3 linked regions of the Diceros bicornis minor genome follow. The protein of the gene in region 1 interacts with the protein of each later gene in a pairwise test. Links are inferred from orthologs where the notes say so. Each region holds a gene or a part of one and is shown in the gene's direction. Other genes may lie near its edges. The genes, in order: NMI, GCSH and MTMR9.

Evidence for each region.
Region 2: the proteins of NMI (region 1) and GCSH interact in binary tests that used the Homo sapiens proteins (3 or more experiments, as listed by UniProt). The two-hybrid records come from large-scale screens. The link is inferred for Diceros bicornis minor from reciprocal best matches to the Homo sapiens genes NMI and GCSH.
Region 3: the proteins of NMI (region 1) and MTMR9 interact in binary tests that used the Homo sapiens proteins (3 or more experiments, as listed by UniProt). The two-hybrid records come from large-scale screens. The link is inferred for Diceros bicornis minor from reciprocal best matches to the Homo sapiens genes NMI and MTMR9.

Annotation. Positions count from the first base shown.
Region 1 is NC_080749.1:35,229,302-35,236,590, reverse strand, and holds the start of NMI (N-myc-interactor), read left to right. Parts: upstream 1-4,211; 5' UTR 4,212-4,478; intron 4,479-7,289. UniProt on the Homo sapiens protein: Acts as a signaling pathway regulator involved in innate immune system response.
Region 2 is NC_080771.1:30,615,605-30,622,953, reverse strand, and holds the start of GCSH (glycine cleavage system H protein, mitochondrial), read left to right. Parts: upstream 1-4,289; 5' UTR 4,290-4,304; coding exon 4,305-4,452; intron 4,453-7,349. UniProt on the Homo sapiens protein: The glycine cleavage system catalyzes the degradation of glycine. The H protein (GCSH) shuttles the methylamine group of glycine from the P protein (GLDC) to the T protein (GCST).
Region 3 is NC_080750.1:62,993,874-63,001,497, reverse strand, and holds the start of MTMR9 (myotubularin-related protein 9), read left to right. Parts: upstream 1-4,543; 5' UTR 4,544-4,629; coding exon 4,630-4,811; intron 4,812-7,624. UniProt on the Homo sapiens protein: Acts as an adapter for myotubularin-related phosphatases. Increases lipid phosphatase MTMR6 catalytic activity, specifically towards phosphatidylinositol 3,5-bisphosphate and MTMR6 binding affinity for phosphorylated phosphatidylinositols.

The DNA of each region.
Region 1 (7,289 bases):
ATACAAACTTATTCATACTCACTAATATGAAAGCTTATACAAAGGGGTTATAACATTGGGCCCAGAGTATTTGACTCTTACTCTTGTATCTAACCACTACTTAGAAATGAGTATATAGCAAGTACTAGATATAGTCACTGTACTAGTAACTGTAGATGACAGGAAAGAAATAAAAAATGATCTTTGCCTTAAAAGTACTTCTCCAGGTAGGAAGATAAAGCAGAAGAAATGTGCAGGAAAAAAAAATTCTCACCAATGGGTAACAGCTTCCATTTATTGAGACTTACCAATGGCTAAGGCACTGCACTTAGCAGTTGACATGTAGTAGTATCTCACTCACAACAGCCTCATTTCACAGATGAGAAAACTGAGGCAGGGAAACTTCAGTAACTTGAAATTAGTATTGAAACCCACATCTGAGATCAAAACCATGCTCTTAACTGTATAGCACTGCATGCCTGACAGAGTAAGGGATGGGGTACTTATTTTACTTTCCTTTTTTTTTTAATCAGTTGTCTACTATTTTATTTATTTTTTTCCAGCTTTGTTGAGATATAATTGAGGTTGAGATATAATTGACATATAACGTTGTGTGAGTTTAAAGTATACAACATATTGATTTGATACATTTATATATTGCAAAATGGTGTTGATTTAATACACATATATTGCAAAATAGTGTTGATTTAATATATTTACATATTGTAAAATAGTGTTGGTTTGATACACTTATATATTGCAAAAATAATTACCACCACAACATTAGCTAATACCCCCATCACGTCACATAATTACCATTTCCTTTTTTGCTATGAGAACATTAAGATTTACTCTCTTAGCAACATTCCTTTACTTTTACATTTTCCAGTTGCAAACCTCTGGAAAACTAGATGATGTTACATAATTTCCTGGTGTCCCCCAGGGTCTTGCACAATGCTGGGCACGTTCTAAGTGTTTCAGCTTCCCCAAGAATGAAATGCAAACTGGATCACCAAAATCTTGGCAACAGTAGCAAAAGCTTGGTGTATAAGACCTTTTCTAAAAACAAGAGCACAATATAAAGGATATCAGATGGTTTTCTCCTGGTTTGCATACCCACCAAACTTGTGGTGGCTCCGAAGCTGTTTCATGCCTCTGGGATTTTTCACTTGAAATTTTGTCTCAGCCCACCTCATCTAATTTGAAGAATCCACTTAATTTTCACCTCTTCTGTGGAAGAAACGTCTCTTGATCTCCTGAGATTGAGGGGACTACTTTCTCCTTTATGATTTTTTTTGTTTTTTTTTCTGGTGAGGAAGATTGTCCCTGAGCTAACATCTGTGGCAATCTTCCTCTGTTTTGTATATGGGACATTGCTACAGCATGGCTTGATGAACAGCATGCAAGTCCATGCCCAGGATCTGAACCTGCAAATCCCGGGCCACCCAAGCAGAGTGCACGAACTTAACCACTATATCACGGGGCTGGCCCCTTCTTTGTGTTTTGCTATGCCTGGTATCCTACCTCTTCATAGCACACACTGCACTGTATGTAACACTGGTCTGTGTGTGTGAATTTATAGGGAATCTGGGAGGAGTTCATTACCATTTGGTGGAGAGATAAATGTGTAACATAACATACATCTCATATCATTGCGGTATAGATTTACATGAGCTGTCCAAGGCATCTCATATGTGACATAATATTTATTGAGTGCATTATAGACACTCAATAAATAATAACTTTAATATTAAGACATGGTATAATTTAGTGTGCGGAAAGAAAAAGTTTTCCTCTACCCTCTTAGGGTTCCTGGCTGGGTCTGAAAATTAAACCGACAAAGATAGATTTACAGAAGAAAAGCATACAGATTAATATAAGTTTTATATGACACGAGAGTCTTCATAAGGAAACAAAGACCAGAAGAAACAGTTAAATCTGACTATTTTTATGCTGGGTTTGATGAAGAGTGGGCAGTCATGGAGGAATATGATGCGTCAAGGAGCATGAGGTAAGTGCAGTAAACTGGGGGAGACTCAGCAAGGCCTGTTTGTTAGGATTCGTCTCGGCATCCCTTTGTCTTCAGAAATAAGGATGCTCCTTTCCTCCAGGTATAGAGAGGGCACCTCTCACACGAGGGTTTTATGACCTGTTTCAGAGAAGGATGGTGGGAGGGAGGGAAAGGTCAGAGTGACCTTCTTGCTTCTGTTTTCTCAAACTTCTTCAGCTTAAACTATTCAATATGCCAAGGTGCCACATTTGAGGGTAGCATGTCCTGGACCCCATCATTAGTAAAATTACCCCATTAGAAACTCTTCAAGATTTTAATAGCTGCTCCTTGAACAAAAGGATTTAGTGGTCAAATTAGTTCAATAAATTCAAGGTTGAATAAAGTTAAACTTTTTCATGTGTGCTTTAATTTTTCCTGCAATACTTCTCAAAATTCTTTTTTTTTTCTTTTTTTTTTGTGAGGAAGATCAGCCCTGAGCTAACATCCATGCCAATCCTTCTCTTTTTGCTGAGGAAGACCAGCTCTGAGCTAACATCTATTGCCAACTCTCCTCCTTTTTTTCCTTCCCTTTTTCTCCCCAAAGCCCCGGTAGATAGTTGTATGTCATAGTTGCACATCCTTCTAGTTGCTGTATGTGGGGACGAGGCCTCAGCACGTCTGGACAAGCACGCTAGGATCCAAACCCAGGCCGCCAGTAGCGGAGCTCGCGCACTTAACCACTAAGCCACGGGCCGGCCCTGCTTCTCAAAATTCTTAATGTGCTATTGTGCATTGTGACTCTCCAAAAGTGAATTAAGTATGCAGCATAACCTAATCATAGTTGGCCGTAGAATTCCTTCATCTTTAAACACCATAAAACACAGTGTGGAGACACTGATTTTATGGTTGAGAGTAGAGTATGACATCAAAGTCATTACATATTAATTGCTTGATTTGGGGTCACCTCTTTAATGCTTAGTTTCCTCATCTGCAAAATGGGAAGAATACCTATACCTCATACTGTTGTTGGCAAAATAAAAAGGATATTAAATGCCCAGGAGTTCTCAGTAGATGTTAGCAATTAAAATTGTTACTAATATGTCCAGGAACTGACTATTCATCTTTAGAACTCCAGCACTTTGCAGAATACTAGATTTGAAGCTGAGTTGAATTCGTATTGTTACACATGGCTTGGCTTTAGCATGTTGGTAGCCAAAAAGGCTTCGCTACTACCTGTATCCTTTGCCCTTTCACAGGATCTGAGTCAATATCAGATCAGCTCTGTTCTGGCCATGGTCCTGCTCCTTAGTATCTTCTTATAAAAAACAAAAACAAGATCAAAGAAGAAATGAGGTTGAACTAAATAACCTCTCAATTTCATGCTCTCTAAATTTCTAAGGTAGAACGACATTAATTCTCAACTTGTGACAGATGAAGTTTTTGTACTTTCAAACTGAGCTGATGAGCACAAAAGCCCTTATCACGCACCACTTGATTTTTTTCACTTAATTCACTTTTAACTGATTCCTATCACTATTCTTGATCTAAAGGAATTTGGCTTTTGTTAATCTGTCATTTTAGACTGCTATATCGGTTATTACATATGAGTATATAGCATTATACACTAGAAATCATTTTGATGCATCTCCTTCCTGACCTCTATTTACCAGCAAGTACAGCTGTGGGGTGGTTCTTGGTGTAGAATTAAGAGACACTGCAGTTCTTGAAATAAGCCAGACGTTTTTATTTTCAAAGGAAAAGATCACACCTAGTGAAGCATTTATTTACAAGCTTCACAACAAAACAAAAGATTGTAAGACAATTTTCAAGGGACGTGGGTCATAGAAACCAACTGAACACCACAGCTTTCCCAACCTCATGGCCCAGAGGACGCTGCAAAAGACACACAGACGAGCTGATCTTGTGCTGGTTGTAAAAATTTGTAGATTAAGGTTATAAAGACAATAAATTACAATGAGAGTTACAATCTGGGGAGAGACGCCTGCTTTGACGTTATTTTGTTTCAGTCCACTTTTCCAACCGTATGTCCAGTAATATACACACACACACAAGAGTGTTTTTTAAGACATGTCCTGAAATTAGTGTTTATGGACACTTCAGGAAAACTTTTGGGATAGATTCCCCCAAAACAAAAACAAAACAAGCAATTTTTAGAAATCGAAAGTGAAAATGGTTATAACTTGTTAGTGTTTAACCAGTTACTGGAGACACCAGGTTTGCTATTCCGAGCGGTGGTTAGTTTTTTCACTAACCACTACTTGAGCACAGTTTTCTTTTCCTTTTCTTCTTCTTCTTTTTTTTTTTTTAAGGAACAAGCTGTTAATCCGAGTGACACCCACTTGCAACGGCACCTCGGATCTCCCGAGGCGCTTCTGGATAAGGCAGCACCAGCCTCGGGGACCTGGGACATCCGGCGCCGACCCCCGAGGTTTCCCGGAAAGGCGGGCGCGCTGGGCCCCGCGTTGCGGCGCTCGACGGGCCGAGGCAGGTGAGTGGGGCTCCCGGTTCCCCGGCTGCCGTCCCTGCTCCTGGTAGCCCCGGGCTACCGAGGCCCTGGGTCGGGAGCGAGGCGCATTCCGCGGCGCCAGGGACCGCGCGCAGAAGGCGGCTCTGCGCCCCCCGCGCCCCCGCGCCCCACCCCCCGCAGCCTGGGTCGCTGTGGCGACAAGCTGCCGAGAGGGCGCGCCTGCCCCTGCGCCCACGGTGCCTTCTGGGTGCCGGCCAGGCCTCTGACCCCGTCTCCTTGGTGTGCTTTGCTTCATTCTGGAAACTGAAACTTAAAACCACTGTGTTTCCTCAACGTTCTTCTAGTGTCTCCCGAGATAGTTCTTAGGAAAACTGATGCCTTGAGATTTACTCTCCTTGGCAGGCGCAGGGTTTGGCAGTCTTTCCTCACGTTTCAGAATATTCAGGGTTTTTCTTGAAAGAGACATCCAAAGGAGAACACCATGTTTCCCTGTCTGTATAACATGCATAAGTTTTTTTAAAACTATATATGTTTATCACTATTTTATTAATTACCACCTCCTGCCTTCCTTCCCCTCGTTTCCTTTCTTTTTGCTGCCAGATATGGGAAGATTGGATTCTATCAGGCCTGCCACCGCAGTGATATGAGTATAGTAGGAAAACAGGTGGTGGATAGATGGTGGTGATTTGTATTGGTTTTTTCATTCACTACCATAACAAATTATCACGGATTTAGTGGCTTAAAAACCACAAAGTTATTATCTTAAAAATCTGCAGGTTAGAAATCTGACCTGGGTCTCACTGGGCTAAAATAAGGTGTCTGCAGGGCTGCCTTCCTTTCTGGTGGCTACTGGAGTAAATCTGTTTTCCTGCCATTTCCAACTTCTACAGGATGCCCACCTTCCTTGGCTCAGTGGTACCCTTTTTCAATCTTCAAAGCCAGCAGCGTGCCATCTGACGATTATTATGTTGTCACATCTCACTCTGACTCTGCTCTTCTGCCTTCCTCGTTCACTTTTAAGGACCCTGGTGATTACATTGGGCCCATGGAAAATTCAGGATGATCTCCATATTTTGAAGTCAGCTGATTAGCAACGTTAATTCTCTTTTGCAGTGTAACCTAACATACTCACAGATTCTGGGGATTAGGATGTGGGCATCTTTGGGAGGGTTGTTATTCTGCCTACGATCTGATTGCATAAAAGGAAGCCTATTACTGTACATCCCGCTGATGCAAAGAGAGGACAGTATTGAGATACTAAATATGTTGCAAAAAGTTCTGGGGGTGTCATGTAGTAGACCATTTATAAGAGTTAAATATATTGAGAGCCTTTATTACAAGCTCTTAAGAATATTGACTTTAAAAAAAGCAATTAAATAATGTTGCAGTTTTTGCTTTCTGGAAATGTGATAAGAGAACTTCATATGCGTGGATGTCCTGAGCAGAACAACTACCTGAGTCAAGATACTGCACGATTCTCTAAATATTGAGTATTTTCAATGTGTAAGCTCGTATTGTGCTCTAAATGGATGCAAGGAGGAGTAGACGTGGTCCCTGGCCTCAAGGTCGTGACCGTCTAATCATGGAAAATGACACAGGTACACAAATAAGTAAAGCTCCCCAAAAGAGGTAAAAGAGGGAGAACTAATGTCCCTTGGGGGAATCAGAAAAGGCTTCAAGAACTTGGCAGAAATTTGGGATGGACCTTGAAGAACAGTAGGATTTCATTAGGTGGAAATTAAGGTTGGGAGGGGTGGAAGGATGAGACATATTGAGGGACAAAAGGGAGAAGAGGGACCCTTCGAGTGTTCAGTGTGGTTAGGAGACTTAGTCTAGGAGTTGTCTAAGAAAGACTAGAAAATAAATTGGAGTTAGATTGTGTAAGACCTTGGATGAATGTTGGAGGCCGTCATAAGGATTCTGCAGTTGTTGATGTAATAGGGAGCTACTAATATATATGTTTTGAAACCATCTCAAACTTACAGAAAAGTTGCAAGTACGATACAAACAACCTTTCTTTTTCCTGTAAGTTTCCAAATTCTTGAGTATACGTTTCCTACAAAAAAGGTATTCTTTGTATAACCACAATACAGTGATCAAAATCAGGAAATTAATATTGACACATTGCTGCCATCTAATCCTTGGATCCAATTCAAATTTTGCCAGTTGTCCCAATAATATCTTGTGTAACAAAAGGACACAGTTCAGAATCATGCATTGCATTTAGTTGTGATGTCTCTTTCATCTCCTTCTGCCTAGAACAGTTTCTCAGTCTTTCCTTGGCTTTTTTGAACTTGACACTTTTGAAGAGAACAAGCCAGTTTGTCTAACGTTTCCTCATGCTTAGATTTAGATTATGTATCTTTGGCAGGAATATCATAGAAGTCATGCTTTGTTCTCAGTGCAGCCTATCAGATGGCAGATGATTTATCTCATTATTTACTTTGATTATTTTATTCTGGTGGCATCTGCCTGGCTTCTTCACTGTGAAGTTACACATTTCCCCTTTGAAATTAATAAATATTTTGTGAGGAAGGATTCTGAGACTAACTAAATGGTCCTTTCCCCACCAAAATTTCAATTTATATATGTCTGTATGTATGTCAGTATGGACTCATAGTTTTCTATTTTACTCAGTGGATTTAATTATTACTGTCATTATTTATTTTTATGATTAATTTATTCTCAGATTTGTCCAGTGAGAACTTCCTCAAGCTGGATTTTCTGTCTTTTTGACATGTTCTCATCATTCTTTGAGCACTTTCTTGCTTTCTGACACCATAAGATGCTCGTTTTATACTTTCCCTGTTCCAGTCCTGAAATCAGCCATTT
Region 2 (7,349 bases), on another chromosome or scaffold:
TAAGGTGTCAACAGGGCCATGCTCCCTTGGAACGCTTTCCAGAGGAATCCTCTCTTCTAGTTTCTAGCATTTGCTAGCATCCTTGGCTTTCCTTGGCTTGTAGACGATGCATCACTCTAGTCTCTGCCTCTGTCATCACATGGCCTTCTCCCCAGTATGTCTGTCTCTGTGTCCCTTTTCCTCTTCTTGTAAGGACATTAGTCATACTGGATTAACGGCTCACCCTACTCCATTATGACCTCATCCTAATTAATTACATCTGCAACAATGCTATTTCCAAATTCAGTCACATTCTGAGGTACTAGGGGTCAGGACTTCAACGTATCTCTTTAGGGGACACAATTCAACCCATAACAGGTGTCATCCCCCAAAAATGTTTCTGGATCAAATGAATGTAGGAAACACTGGATTATAAATGGTTACACAAGGTCTTCAGCATGGGAATTGTCAGGGCTTTTAATATACTAACTGTGCACTGTGAGTCTCCTGGGCTGAGAAGAGCATGAGAGAGAAAGTGTGTAATGAACCCCAAACCTCTTTGACCACGGCATCCTGTACCGCAGCACCTCAGTCAGGGCTAGTGTTCCTTAGACGATGTTCTGAGAATTGCTGATCTACACCAGGGGTTTTCAACCTTGGCTGCATGCTGGAACCCCCAAACTTCATCCCAATACATCAGAATCTCCAGGCTGGGACCCAGGCATCAGTATTTTTTAAGCCCTCCAGGCGATTCCAACGTGCAGTCAGATTTGATAACCATGCTCTAAATTCTGAGAATTTAGAGAGATCTAGATAACAAAAAGCTTCCAGGTGTCTGTGTGGATAAGTGCACATTTCCTGTCCCCCATGCAGGGTGTCGGGGGAAGAGGGAGAATCTCCCTCTGCCCTTTCCCTTAAGGTTCTTCTGGCTGGCCAAATAATCAACAAGACAGGTTAGCAGGAGAAAATAATACCAAGTTTAACAACATGTATACATGGGAGAAACTCAGAAATGAGCAACTCGTCCCTCTGTCTAAGCTGCTTGCTTAAGTATTGCAGCTAAAGGCGAGGAATGTGTTGGGGGTGGGTAGTGGCCTGGGACTTCAGAGGGCAGGAGGACAATTCTTTTCAGGGTCATCTATAGATAATGTGGTCAGGGAGAGACAAAGTTTTTTGATAAAAGAGGCTTGGTGCCTTTCCTATTGTAACCTCTATCCTACATTATCTTTACAGCCATCATGATAGAAGATCTGTTCCAGGAAGGAGCCACCATGTCAAATTCTTTAGGCAGTTAGTGGCGGAGGTCAAATGTCCTTCAGAGAAAACAATCAAGGTAAAGAGATATATTTCAGGGTGGCCAAATCTTGATCTCCCACAAGGGCAAACCCCTCACATTTCCTCTGCAGGTCACCCTGTCTTATCCCTCCTCCTCACACTACTTCACACACCACGGTAGCAGATATTCTAGGTGCCTGCCCCAAATCCATCACACACTCTCTCCTCCTTGCTATCAGAATCCCGACTGGTTCAGATAGCCACCTACCCCTCCCCCACATGACTCATGGGAAGCTGACCCTGTAGCCACTTCAAGGTAAATCCTTGTCTTAGTAGTGGTAATCCATTTCCCTTGACAGTGAGTGCTTTAGGGTGGCCATATGACCCAGTCTGGCCAACAAAAAATGAGAAGAGGTCTCTAGGACACTTCTGGGAAAGGTCTGCTTACTAATAAAAAGAGACACATAGAGACAGGCTCTTATGCTGCTGGACATTGTCTGGTCCTGGAATTTTGGCAGTTACCTCGAGACCACAGGCAACAATCTGAAGATGGCAGAGTAGAAAGACAAGAGGAACACGCGTGCTTGATAAGGTCTTTACACAGCTGAGTTAATCAACCCTGGAGCTGAACTACTGCCAGCCATTCATCTGATTGAGACCTTAAATTTTTTTATGATGGTGAAATCAGGATCCTACCCCACTATCCTGACAATCAAAACCCAGGATCCTTTATAAACAGAGAGCTACATAACATGCAATATACATAAAACCTAGGGGATTGCATCATCTTCTATTCACTCAAAAGCCCATCATCCATTCTTTATCACGTCAGGTATGACCATGAGCTATATATGCAGAGATGCTCATCAAATAACCCATAGCAAGGTATACACATCTTCTGATAAACTGGTACAGAAACCTAAACCAGATAGATACAGTCAGTTTGTTTTAAGTAGGACAAGTTCTAAGATCTGGAGAAGTTGTAAGTTCTTCCTTTCTCTTTCTCATCTTGCCCATCTACTCTCCATTTCTCTGTTGTCTGTAAACATCAAACTGGCAACTCCTTCGACAGTACTGTTATGAGAGAAAAAAAAAATACATCTGCTCAAAGACATGGGAGGGCCCTTCTGAGACACCTGAAAGAAATGACCACTTTCAATTTTCAGATGCCTGTACCAAATGTGCAATGAGATGACTTTTCAAATCTCAAGCCATGGATGTCACAAAGATCACCAATTGAAAAAAATAATTTTATTATTATCCTCAATGTTTGTTAGACAAGAAAAACAAAAAAAGACACACTTCCTATTGTTGTGGTGGAAGGGCCTGTGATGTAGCCCACACATTGACATGTCATCTTGTTCTTCCCACCCAATGAGTTAGTGGAGCTGGGAATAAATATTTCAGGGCATAGCTTGCATTATGCAGCACTGGCTTGTAACAAAACAATAAAAACAGAATGCTGACATTATAGATGCCAGCCAAGATCTCAAGTTTAGAGCAGACCACCATGAGCCAGTCAGCATCCCAAACGGAGGAAAGTAGGACAGTGCTTAAGAGCAGCTGATTGCACATCAGAATGGAGGTCAAGTCCTGCTACTACCACCTAGTAGCTGCTTAAGCTATAAAATGCCTTCCCGTTCCCCTCCTGGGCAAGTTAGTCAACCTTTCTGAGCCTCCAGCTCCTCTTCTATGAAATGAGTGTGATACCTACCAGAAAGGGGTTTGGAGAGGATTAGAAAGATAATGTTTACCTAGTCCCAGGCACATAGCAAGGGCTCAATAAACGACCATTACTTACTCAGAGGAAAATGGAGCGTGACAGCCCTTGCAGGCCACTGCACAGATGTGCTGAAATCTCAATTTTTTAAGTGAGGCAGAAGCTCAGTGCAACAACAAATGGGCCTCCCGAACACACATACAAACACACACTCTTCAAGGTGCCCACCCTGTAATATGGAAGGTGTAGAGCTTGAGGTGTTTTTCACTCCAGTGTTTCTTTGCTGATTCACACCCACTCCATAAAATTTGTGTAGAAGGTGAGGTCCCTCCAGGAACTGAATGATTTTCTGTCTCCTTGGACAGGGACATGTCTTGCACATTTCTCAGAAGGCCTTGGGCAGGCCGGCTGCTTAAGCAAGGAACCGACCATGCTGGGTCTCAACTCCCTGCCTTTTGATTGCTCCTGCATGAGCTCACTGGCTCCAGTCCAGTCTCTACCAAGAGGCCACCCCCGACCCTTAGACAAGTCCTTGCCGCTCCATGAGCTTGGTGATTCTGTCTGACCTCTGTTTGGGGACCCTAGGCCTTTCAGGATCTGTAAAGGAATAAAGTGGGTTCCTAGATTGTTTTCAACATTTCGAAAAGTCAAAGAGAAACTGCATTTGCGTCAGCGCACCTTTGGCCAATGGCCAACAACCATCCTCGGCTGGAATGATTCTGTTTGCACCTGGCTATGAATCCCGCTCTGGGTGACCTTCATGCTCCGCAGAAGGGCGGGACCATACCCTTTAACAAGACTGGGAGCACCTCGCCTTCCCGAGGACCCCAGGGCCCAGTGGCACGGGAATGCACTAGCCAGGCAGAGCCAACCCGGCCCACAGCGCTGCTCACCGTCCCCGGCGCCCCCCGCGCCCTCCCCGGGGGGGTCGAGGAGCCGGGAGATACCGACCCACCGCTTCATTCGCCCGGAAACGACGCCCAGAGGCTAGGCCACGCCCATCTCGGGGAGGCCCCGCCCCGCCCCTCTGCAGGACGACCCAGCCCGGCCCCTGCCTGCCGCACTAGTCCCCGCCCCTCGCCCACCGCCCCTTCCGGGCCTCCGGCACTTACTAGTGTCCCAGCCCCCCGCGCGCCGCCCTATCAGAGGCCGCGCCCGGCCTGGAGTCCCCGCCCCTCCGCGCCCCGCGCCACCAGGCCCCGCCCCCGCGCCCGGGACCAGCCGGCTGGCTCCGGCTCGCTCCAGCCCGGGACCGTCCCGGGCCCCGCCCCCGCCCCCGCCGGCCGGGGCGCCTGTGGCGCTGCAGCGCGACCCCCGCACCTCTGCGAACATGGCGCTGCGAGCGGCGCGGAGTGCGCGGGCCGCGGCCTGCAGCCTGCGCGCCGCCTGGGCCCCCCCTCTGCCCTGCCCGCCGCGGCTCTGGGGGCTGAGGGCAGGCGCCGTCCGGACGCTGCGCACGGGCCCCGCTCTGCTCTCGGGTAAGCGCGGGCGGGCACGTGGGGCGAGCCGGGCCGCCCGGGGGAAGGGGTGGGCGCCCCGCTCCCCGCCTCGCCTCCCGCTGCCGACCGTCCCCGGTCAGGCGAGGCGACCCCTGCGCACGCCTCTTCTTGCTGGGGTGCCGAGTTGCGCGTCGCTGCTGCCGTCCCTGCGCCGCGCGGACGACGCGCAGCCTTTGTCCTGCGGGCTGGGCGCCCGACGGGGGCGGGGAGGAGGCCTGGGCGCGCGGCCGCCGTGTCCGCGCCGGTTCCCGCGGCGCCGGGGGACCGGGCAGGCGTCCCCAAGCGCCTTCGTAACCTTCGGTTACCTCGCGCGTGTGAGCATCTGGACCCTGAGAGTGGAGACAGATAATAGGCTTTAGCTTGCTGCCCGGACCATCACTGAGAACTCGGGAGTAGGAGTCAAGCAAGAGCAGTTACTGAAAGCAAAGCACTGCGGCTAGTGTCTTCCTAGCCAAAGCGAGCCTAACTTGGAAGACTCGGCTGTTTCCTAGATACAGGGAAACAGAGTCTTCTGCATTCTTCACAGAGACGTTTTGCTCAGGTCGATATTGAGTCATGGACGTGTGTTGGTGCTGAAATGAGGCCTAACTTAACGGACTTGGATAACTGCGAGACCTGCCCATAAATGTGGCCATCTCTGCTGCTTTAGCACAGTTATCGCAGCGGGAACACAGTTTTCTTACTTAGTGCGCAAGTGCTCGAGACACCAACTGCGCTTCCAAAATCTCAGGCTTCTTACTTAGGGAGCGTAGGTCTGTGATGGCTGTTGTCTCATTAAGCTCACTGTTTTAGAAACATGTTTGGGACTGGAAGAGTTGATAAGCTTATTTATTCCAAAGTCTGAAACATAAAGATGTTTATCCTCCTCCTTGCTAATGTAATCCCTCAGCTCTGTCGGTGCCACATATCAATACATTACCCATCTGAAAATCAGGGAAAAAGGCATTTCTCAGATAAGAATTGAATTTCAAGTCTATGTTTTTTTGTTATTCAGTGTTACACTATCGCTAGCTTTTTGTATTTTCCAGTTTCCTAGTTAAATATTGCCCAAAATATCAATACCCATGATCTGATTGAACACCTAGGTTTTTAATAACAGAGGCCTCAGTTCCAATTTTAGTTCCACCACTTGTGAGCTGTGTGATCTTGGGCGGAGTCACTTAATTTCTCTGAGTCTATTTTCCTCATCAGGAAAATGGAAATGATAATCCGGACCTAAGGACCTCACGGAGTTATCGGCAGGATCAAGTGAAATAATGTAACTGCTGTACATACAGCCTGACATGTAGCACTCGATAAATGTTACTTGTTATTAAATATTAGTGTACAGAATCAAACAGCAAAATATTGACCAATATTAATATATTTTATCTGATGACTCTGAAAAGAGGAACATGCAAACTTTTCATGAATTACTCAAAATGCCTAATTTTCTGAGGCCAAAAACCATGTTTTTCAAGGCTCAGTAAGAAAGTAATTATTTACCTAATCTCCTGTCTACTCTTTTCCTGTTGGGCCAAGGGTTAAAGGAGAATTGTCCTAATCATTGTCTTTAGCCTAAATAGCATGGCCTAGTAAAAAGACTTAGACTTTGAAGTGAAGTGGACCTAGGAGCATTTAGCTTAGTAATGTTGCTGCCTTTTCCTCTAAACTAGTGATTGCTCAGTTGCTAAACTGAACGTGAGAGCAGTCTTACTCCTAAGATTATCTTTACAATTAAGCAAGATGGCAAGGCCAAAATCAGGACAGTAGTCTCAGAGAAGTCATGTATTTATAGTTGTCCAGCGCTTATTTAAAAAGGCTTATCAAACTGCCAGTTCTAGAGTTGTAAGAGAATCATAGGGAGAATTGAATGTTGTAGCCAAATAACTATATATATTAGATATTTTGCTCAGAATCCCCTTTACTTTAAAAAATTACTTTACTCCAACTTTTGAGTGCTTCCTGTATGCCAAGCACTGTGTTGAGAACTGGGAATACAAAAGAGATCAACCCTGCTCTTGCTTGCTTTGTATTTACAGTTTACTTCCTGGGGGAAACTGAAAAATAGCCTGTGTCTGTAGCATGTTAAGTGCTGTGAGTATGTGTGTGGTGGGGGTCAGGGTGGGAGGAGAGCGGTGCACAGTGCTGTGGGAGCATGTTGGATGGCCCAGGAACCCAGGCTTGGAGGGCTATACAAGGCTTCTGGCAGGAAAGAGCTTCTAAGTTGAGTTCTGAAATAGTCAAGAAAAAACAGTTGGGAGAGTGTTGCAGTCAGAACACCAAGTACAAACCTTAAACCTTTCTTAGGGAAAGATCAGATTGACCTGAAGCGAGTATAAAATTAAGAAAGATTTTTAGTGATTGGGAGGAAAAAAGTACTAAGTCATACTCTTTATTTACATTGTGCTATGTAGCAGAGCTGTGTAATCAAAGCAGTTTGATGCTGTTTTAAGTACAACTATCTTTTGGGTAATGGGTAAGAGCGAACTAGCAAGGCTTACTTTAAAACAGTATTGGAGGGCTGGCCCCGTGGCTTGGCGGTTGGGTGCGTGCGCTCCGCTGCTGGCGGCCCCGGTTCGGGTCCCTGGCGCGCACAGACGTGCCGCTTCTCCAGCCATGCTGGGGCCACACCCCACATGCAGCAGCTGGAAGGATGTGCAACTATGACATACAGCTATCTACTGGGGCTTTGCGGGAGGGGGGGGGGGAATTAAAAAAAAATACATTAAAACAGTATTGGAATTAAGGAACCATTTTCCTATTAACTTGATTCATTATTTTTGGAAAAATACTTTGCTTCAGAATGTGATATATATATATAAGATGATAGCATATGCTTTTTAAAAAATTATTTATTCTTTAAAGCAAATTCTTTTAACATTAAATCCTCAATA
Region 3 (7,624 bases), on another chromosome or scaffold:
GGGGAGGAGAGGTCAGGGTGGAATATGTTAAGTAAAATACAGGGAATCTGTTCACAAATATACACAGTGTCTATGAGGTATAGGCACTAAAGTAGATGCTGGGCCTACTGCAACAAAGAATGGTCCTTGCTGTCAAGGAGCTTATTGTCCAGTGGAACGTTATGGACACAGAAAGAGTCTATTTCAATACAGTTTATTAAGAGGTAAAATCAGAGAGAGTAACCAAGGTGGGCTCAGGTCTCATGGGTGGCAATGTAGCACGGTGGCGAAGAGCACAGAGTCTGCGCCCGACTGCTTGGGTCTGCATTCTGATTTCATCACTTATTGCTGTCTGACCATGGAAAAGTTATTAAGAGCTCTATGCCTCAGTTTCCTCATCAGTAAAAGAAGAATCATAACCAACATTAGAGAATTGTAGAAGGGCTACATGAGTCAATACATGTAAGGCATTTAGCACAACATCTGAACACAGAGTAAACACTCAAAAATATGATATATATATATGATATATGCTATATGTATCACATTTTTTTTTAAAGATTTTATTTATTTATTTTATTTCCCCCCAAAGCCCCAGTAGATAGTTTTGTGTCATAGCTGCACATCCTTCTAGTTGCTGCATGTGGGACGCGGCCTCAGCATGGCCGGAAAAGCGGTGCGTCGGTGCACGCCCGGGATCCGAACCCGGGCGGCCAGCAGCAGAGTGCAAGCACTTAACCGCTAAGCCACGGGGCCGGCCCTGTATCACATTTATATATTATATATATCACATAAAATGTGATATATATGTGTGTATACATATATACATATCATGTGGACTCCGTGGTTTTGAAGCCAATATAATGTGGAGCACATAGTTTTGAAGGGAAATCAAGGAAGGCTTCCTAGAGGCAGTGACATAGAGATGAGATCTGAAGGATGATAGGAATTAGCAGGTCAAGGGACAAGGTATTAGGAATGAGGTGAGTATATAATAGGCAGAAGGAACACCGAGATTCTTTAAAGCAGTGCTATCTCAAACTTTCATGTGCATAAAAATCATCTAGGAATCTTGTTAAAGGGCAGATTCTGATTCAGTAGCTATGGAGTGGAACATTTCTAACAAAGTTCCCAAGGAATGCTGATGATGCTGGTCCCTGCCCTACTCTTCCACTTGGTAAAAAGGTTCTGAGTGCAAAACCTCAAAAGGAAACTGTGAGCTATTTAAGAACAGTTGGCGTGAAAATCACAAGGAATGGGTTTATGTGGGCTGTTGCGCTGGGTAGGGAGGGAGGAGGAGAGATAAGATCTGCAATGCTGATCACTGCCTAAGGGGCTAAATCACAAAGGGACTTATAAGTTAAGAAAAGAAAAACAGAAACTTGGAACAGCAAATAGGGCTTTAGCTGCCAAGTGGAAAGATGGGTTGGAAGGGAACCCCACTAGAAGACAGGGAACCAACTGAGAGGCTTTTCCTGTTAAGTAACAGAACGTGAGAAACGATGGTGGCCTGAACTACGGCAGTGGCCTTGGGAATGGAGAGAAGCGGTGGAATTCAAGAGCTATTAGAAGATACAATCAACAATTTGGTGATTGATTTGCTTGGGGGATGAAGGGGATAGAGAACACAAGAAAGACATGCATGAGGTTATCAGGTTCGTTTCAAGTGCCTACAGTCCACGTATAATTACAAAGCACATGGAGAATAGCTGCTCATCAATGGCACACAGGCAGCGTCTTCTCCATTTTAGATGCTCCTTCTACTTTTGGCAATTTTTGACCTGCTTTCTTCAAACTACCTTCAAACTGCCTCAATTTCTACTAACTACTCAAGGCCTAGTAGAGAAACACAAAACTAGGCAAGTAAATCTGTACTCCAAAATTTAGCACTTACTCTCTTATTTTGTTCATTAGTTGTGTGGGTGTGTCGGCCTTCCCAAATGAGCTATTACTTTTGGAGGGCAAGGGCTGTGTCAAATCTGTTGTTTCCATTTCCCACAGTGCTGATGAACAAGTCAGCACTTAATACATGCTGGCTGACTATTTGACAGAATAACTTCTAGAAGATTACCTATCAATGCTGTTTATTATCTCACAAAAGATGATAAAAATAATAATATTTGTAAGGTGTTGAGTGCTTTATATGAATTATAAATGCCATCACCTTCTTTGGTTTATCAGAATCCTCTGAGACCTTTACATCCAGGGAATTTGGATAATGACTTTGACTAAAGCTTCATTGAATCATGTCAACGGAATGGAAGCCTATCCCATTACCTCGAACTCTACTGCCATCTACTGCTCATGTAGTAAGTTAACATATTGTGGTCCCCACTCCCTCCATTCTTGACTATTGAATCTTCGTTTTCTTGAGATCTCAATGGCTTTCTATGCTGAGCTTCAACCTAGAGTAGATGTAATTTTCTGAAAGTTTACCGTGTTCCGTTATAACAACCCAGCATGATATTGATAATTTCTCTCGTGGGCAAAAAGTTTATGTCTTTACAGAACATTAAACATTTTAAATTTAATGACACAATAGTCCTTTCATAGGCTTTTTTTTTCTTCTGGAAATCTAAAAGAAAAAAGTCATGAAATTTCTGAAGAATTTTTCCTTAGCTCTGGTAGATATCATTAAACTTGACATCTATCTTGGTTACACTCCCACTTAGGGTGTAAATCCTACTCATCCTTCAATGTCCTCCTTTCAAATGATACCTTTTCTGTAAAACTTTCCCTGATTCTTCATTCTGGAAGTAAATTCTCCCTTCCACAACTGGTAATTGTTATAATGAACCACATAGTGGAAGGACAACAAAAATTCCAATTAAAAAAATAGCTTTATAAGTTATTTCCCCTCATTCTCGCTTCTCTGTTGGTTCCTGTTTTTCTTTTGCAGACAAATAAAATAAAACGAGACTCAGGTGTAACAATCTTATAAACCGTTTTGTTTTAAGAAGAGAACATTTGGGGCCAGCATGGGGGTGTAGCTGTTAAGTCCTCCTGACCCGCTTCATCAGCCCCGGGTTCCCCCAGTTCCCATCCTGGGCACTGACCTGCACACTGCTCATCAAGCCACGCTTAGGCAGCATCCCACACAGAGCAACCAGAACCATGTACAACTATGACATACAAGTATCTACCGGGGCTTTGGGGAGAAAGAAGGGAAAACAAGGAGGAAGATTGGCAACAGATGTTGGCTCAGGGCCAATCTTCCTCAAAACAAAAAAAGAGAAGACGACCAGAACATTTTAGGAAGGGCAAGGACAAAAGCAAGGACATGTGTTGGGTGATGATGAGATTTGAGGCAATTTATTTTGTCTTTGCTGTGAGACTTTTGCCAACTCGCTGTTCTTAGGTACTAGATGGTGAGGATTTCAAAGGTTAATGAAGTGACAGCAGACTGGGACTCAAACCCTTATATATTTCCCCCCTAATTCCCTATCTTAGAATGAAAATGACAGTTTAAGGGGAGAACGGCACCAAGCAAGGAAAACTAATTTGAGTAAACTTCTGGCATAATCTAGGTGTCTGGGAGTAGTTCAGTCGGGTTGTATTTCATGGGGAGGCTGTGCGGTGGTGACCAATGCCCCAACGCCTTGGATTTCATAGATCTAGATGGAAGTCCGGCCTTTGCTACAGACTAACTGCGCTTTAGCAAGTCGCTTGAGCTTCCTCCCAGGACAGGATTAGTCACTTCCCCTTCTGTGCACTGTACGTACGTCTACCTAGGTGCCTCTCACGGGTGTCTGTTCCCCTCCGTCTGGGTCAAGGTCACAGCACCCCGGCGCGGCGCTCTCTGGGAGTCCGCGGCGCCCGCCCCGTGACCCGCCCTTACCCCTGGCGGCTTCTCTGGAGTCAGTCACCGATTCGGTCCCACCCTTGCCATCTCTTCACGGCGAATGGGTGAAAATCGCTGCAATTTACGGCAGCCCCACCCTCAAGAGAGCCCTTGGAGGGATGACTACTCGAGTGGAGGGAGGCAGGTCAGCGACCTCTTCTCGTCACCCCATCGTCCCCGGCCTTTTACGAACAGTATTTGGAGGGGGTGGAGGTGCAGCGGTGGGCGTGAAGGCCAGAAAGAACTTTTTCCTGGTAGGAACACAAATCTTCGATTCTCGCTGTTTCCGGAAGCATTCTTATGGGACCTAGGCGGGGACCGACTTCCGGCTCTGACTTCCCCGTCCTCCAGGTTTCGAGCTCCGCCGCTTCCGCCCGGAGTTGCTCTAGGCTCCGGCTGCGAGCAGCTCCTTCCGTCAGGAGTCCCTAGCGGCTCGGACTTGGAAACTGGCCCTAAAGCGGCCTCCTCCGTCTCCCCTCGGCCTGTCCGCCGGAGGCCGGGTCCCCAGGAGACGGCGGCTGCGGCTGGGCCTGTGGCGGAGCGTTCTCTCTGGCCGAGCCCCGGGCCTAGAGGGAGCGGGAGCTGCGGGGGAAACGCCCCGGCCTGGCCCAGCCCCAGCGCGGGCTTCCCGCGGCCAGTGACCGTGGCCACAGGCCTCGCCGCGCCCACTCCGGCCTGGGGCGGGGCCCGGCCTCCCCGCCCCTCCGGCCAGCCCAGCGCCGGGTCCTTCTCCGCCTCAGCCCCGCGGCGGTGTAACCGCCTAGCACGCACGCCACCCGGCAGTGCCCCGGCTCCGGCTGCTGGGGAACATGGAGTTTGCGGAGCTGATTAGGACCCCACGGGTGGACAATGTGGTGCTGCACCGGCCTTTCTATCCCGCCGTCGAGGGGACCTTGTGTCTGACTGGCCACCACCTGATCCTGTCCTCCCGGCAGGACAACACGGAGGAGCTGTGGCTCCTCCATTCAAACATCGACGCCATCGACAAGCGGTGAGTCCCGTCCCACCTTCTCTTCCGCGGGAGCCTGGGTTCCCGGGTGGACCCAGCGCCCAGCCAGCCCGCAGAACGAGCCCTCTGTGGCCTGGGTTGAGGATTTGAGTTTTAGAAAGCAGAAAACCATCCAAATGAGATACCCGGTTTCCATGAAGTCTGGATGGAATTCCCAGGGTTATCACATGTTTATTGTCCTCGCGATTCTCATTTTTGGTACATACACCATTTGTGTGGATTTTTAACGTTTTCTTTTTAAATTTCTTCTTGCACCATTACATTCCTTGAATATTAATCGTCTATCACAGTTCATGAAGTTGTGATTGAATGTGATTTAGGTAAAGTCTTTACTGGCCACTTTTGAGGAAAACTCAAAGAACTCAGATGTAGTGTCTAAATTCCACAGAACCTTCCCCCCCCTCAAAATTCTTCAGTTTATCATATTTCTCCTAATTCTTACTTTCTGGGTCATCAGTTTAGTAGTTCCCACTATGGGAGATTATAATATCTTTTATGTATTTATCTTTACTCAGTTCTGCTTTTGGAAAGAACAGAGTTGGCTCTTAAGCAAAGGTATTAATTAATTAACTTTTTTTCCATGCACCCTAGACTCTGTCTTTCTAAGGTAGTGTCTCAGAGTCAAAAAGTTATATTTCCATCTGCGGTCAAAATTCCCATTTCCCCAATAGCTCTGTGTACTTAGTCTAGCCAGGAGAAGATAAATAGATTATCCAATTTATACTAAAGTATAAATGAATGACAACAGCTTTTCTATTATCTTTCAGGAGAATTTGAATATAAAGAAGATTCCTAGAGAGGTTATGTGTTAACAGAAAAAAATTTCCAATGGTAGAATTTGAAACAGTAAGAGTGAAGTGGTGATAGATTTATTTTTCCGAGCAGAGGGCTCCTACTACAGTCTTCTTCAGGTCACCTTCTCCTTTGTAAAAGTTTTCAGTGGTCTCTCCTTGCCTGCATAATAAAGTCTTAAACCCCTTAGTCTGTCATTCATGGCAAGCCATGTTTTGGCTCTAAGCTATGTTTCCTACCTTAGTTCTTGCCATTCATTTTCATGAACCCTTTTCACTAGCCAGTCCTCACTCTTTATTTTGCTCATGCATATGCTGCATTCTCTCATGTCTGTATTTTACCGACACGCTTCCTTCTGCCTGGAATGCCTTGCTCCTCCCAAGCTTGTTAAACATTTATTGAATGTCGTTATGGTCCAGACATTTTGTGAGGCATTAAGGACACCAAGATGAATGAAATATAGTTCTTGTCTTTCAGGAGTTGATAGGCTACCATCCAACTGTTACCCATCTATCAATATTCAGTTTAACCATTTCAACTGCCAGCTCTTTCACACATTCTTCTGTTAATCCCACAACCAGAAGTAATTTCCCTCACCTTGGAATCCTGTAGCTCTTTAATTATACCTCTTTCATAGGTGTATATTAAAATTTGTATTTTGATAGTTGCATGTATGTTAGCTCCTTGAAGCAAGGACTTGCATTTGGTTAATTTTTATTTCCTTCAAAACTCCTCTGACTTGGGTGGATAGGCACATTGGAAATAAACAAAGAATTGACCACTGAATGGTCATTGGTGGCATAGAATACAAATTAGAGTTTCTCCATGCCATCAACTCTCTTGCTTATTTAACTTTTTTTGTGGTTGCTCTTCACTCTTTCATTTCATCATATTTACCTAGCATTTACTACATGGTGGGCCTGGTAGGGCTTAAAGAAGTATATAAGACATGGACCTTTTTTTTTGTGTGTGAGGAAGACCAGCCCTGAGCTAACATCTGTGCTAATCCTCCTCTTTTTGCTGAGGAAGACCAGCCCTGAGCTAACATCTATTGCCAATCCTCCTTTTTTTCCCCCAAAGCCCCAGTAGATAGTTGTATGTCATAGTTGCACACCCTTCTAGTTGCTGTATGTGGGGCGCGGCCTCAGCATGGCCGGAGAAGCCGTGCGTCGGTGCGCGCCCGGGATCCGAACACGGGCCGCCAGTAGCGGAGCGCGCGCACTTAACCGCTAAGCCACGGGACGGCCCAGACATAGACCTTTTTAATCTGCTAGAGGGGAAATGACAAACTGTGCACACGTTTATCTTTTTCCTGGGAAGCAGCATGATGTAATGGAAAGAGCATGAGCTAGGTGGTCAGATCAGAGTTTGTTTAATTGTTGCTTTCAAGAAATATTTACTTCCATGTGTCTTGTAGGTGCTGAGCACTGTCTTGGCTCTGCAGATGCAGTGGTGACTAAGACAGACTAGGAGCTTATGTATTAGTGGGGGAGATGAACATTCAAGTTAATCAACAAATAAATATATAACAATGTCAGGTAATAAGTGCCAGGAAGGAAAATAAAGGAAGATGAGAGGATAGAGAATGCCAGGAGGCAGTGTATTTACAAAGAATTTCAGAGAAGACAAGTGACATTTGAATGAATGACATCCAAATGAAGGGAGGAAGCTAGCAGTGTGAATACTGGAGGAAAGAGCATTCCAGCCAGAGGCAACTGGGAATACAAAGACCTGAGACAGGAACTTATCTGGCATGTACCAGGAAGAACCAAGACTCCAGTGGCTGGAGGCCAGTGAGCAAGGAGTAGAGGCTAGGAGGATGGCAGAAACTGGTTGGAGGGGTAAACAGGGGCCAGATCCTGTAGGACCTTACATGCTGTTGTGATGGTTTTCATGGGGAGCCCTTGGAGAGTTGAAAGCAAGGAAGTAGCAGCTGATAGACTTTTTAGAAGATGATTCTGGCCGCCGGCAGAAAATGGATTGTAGGGGGGCAAGAGTGGAAG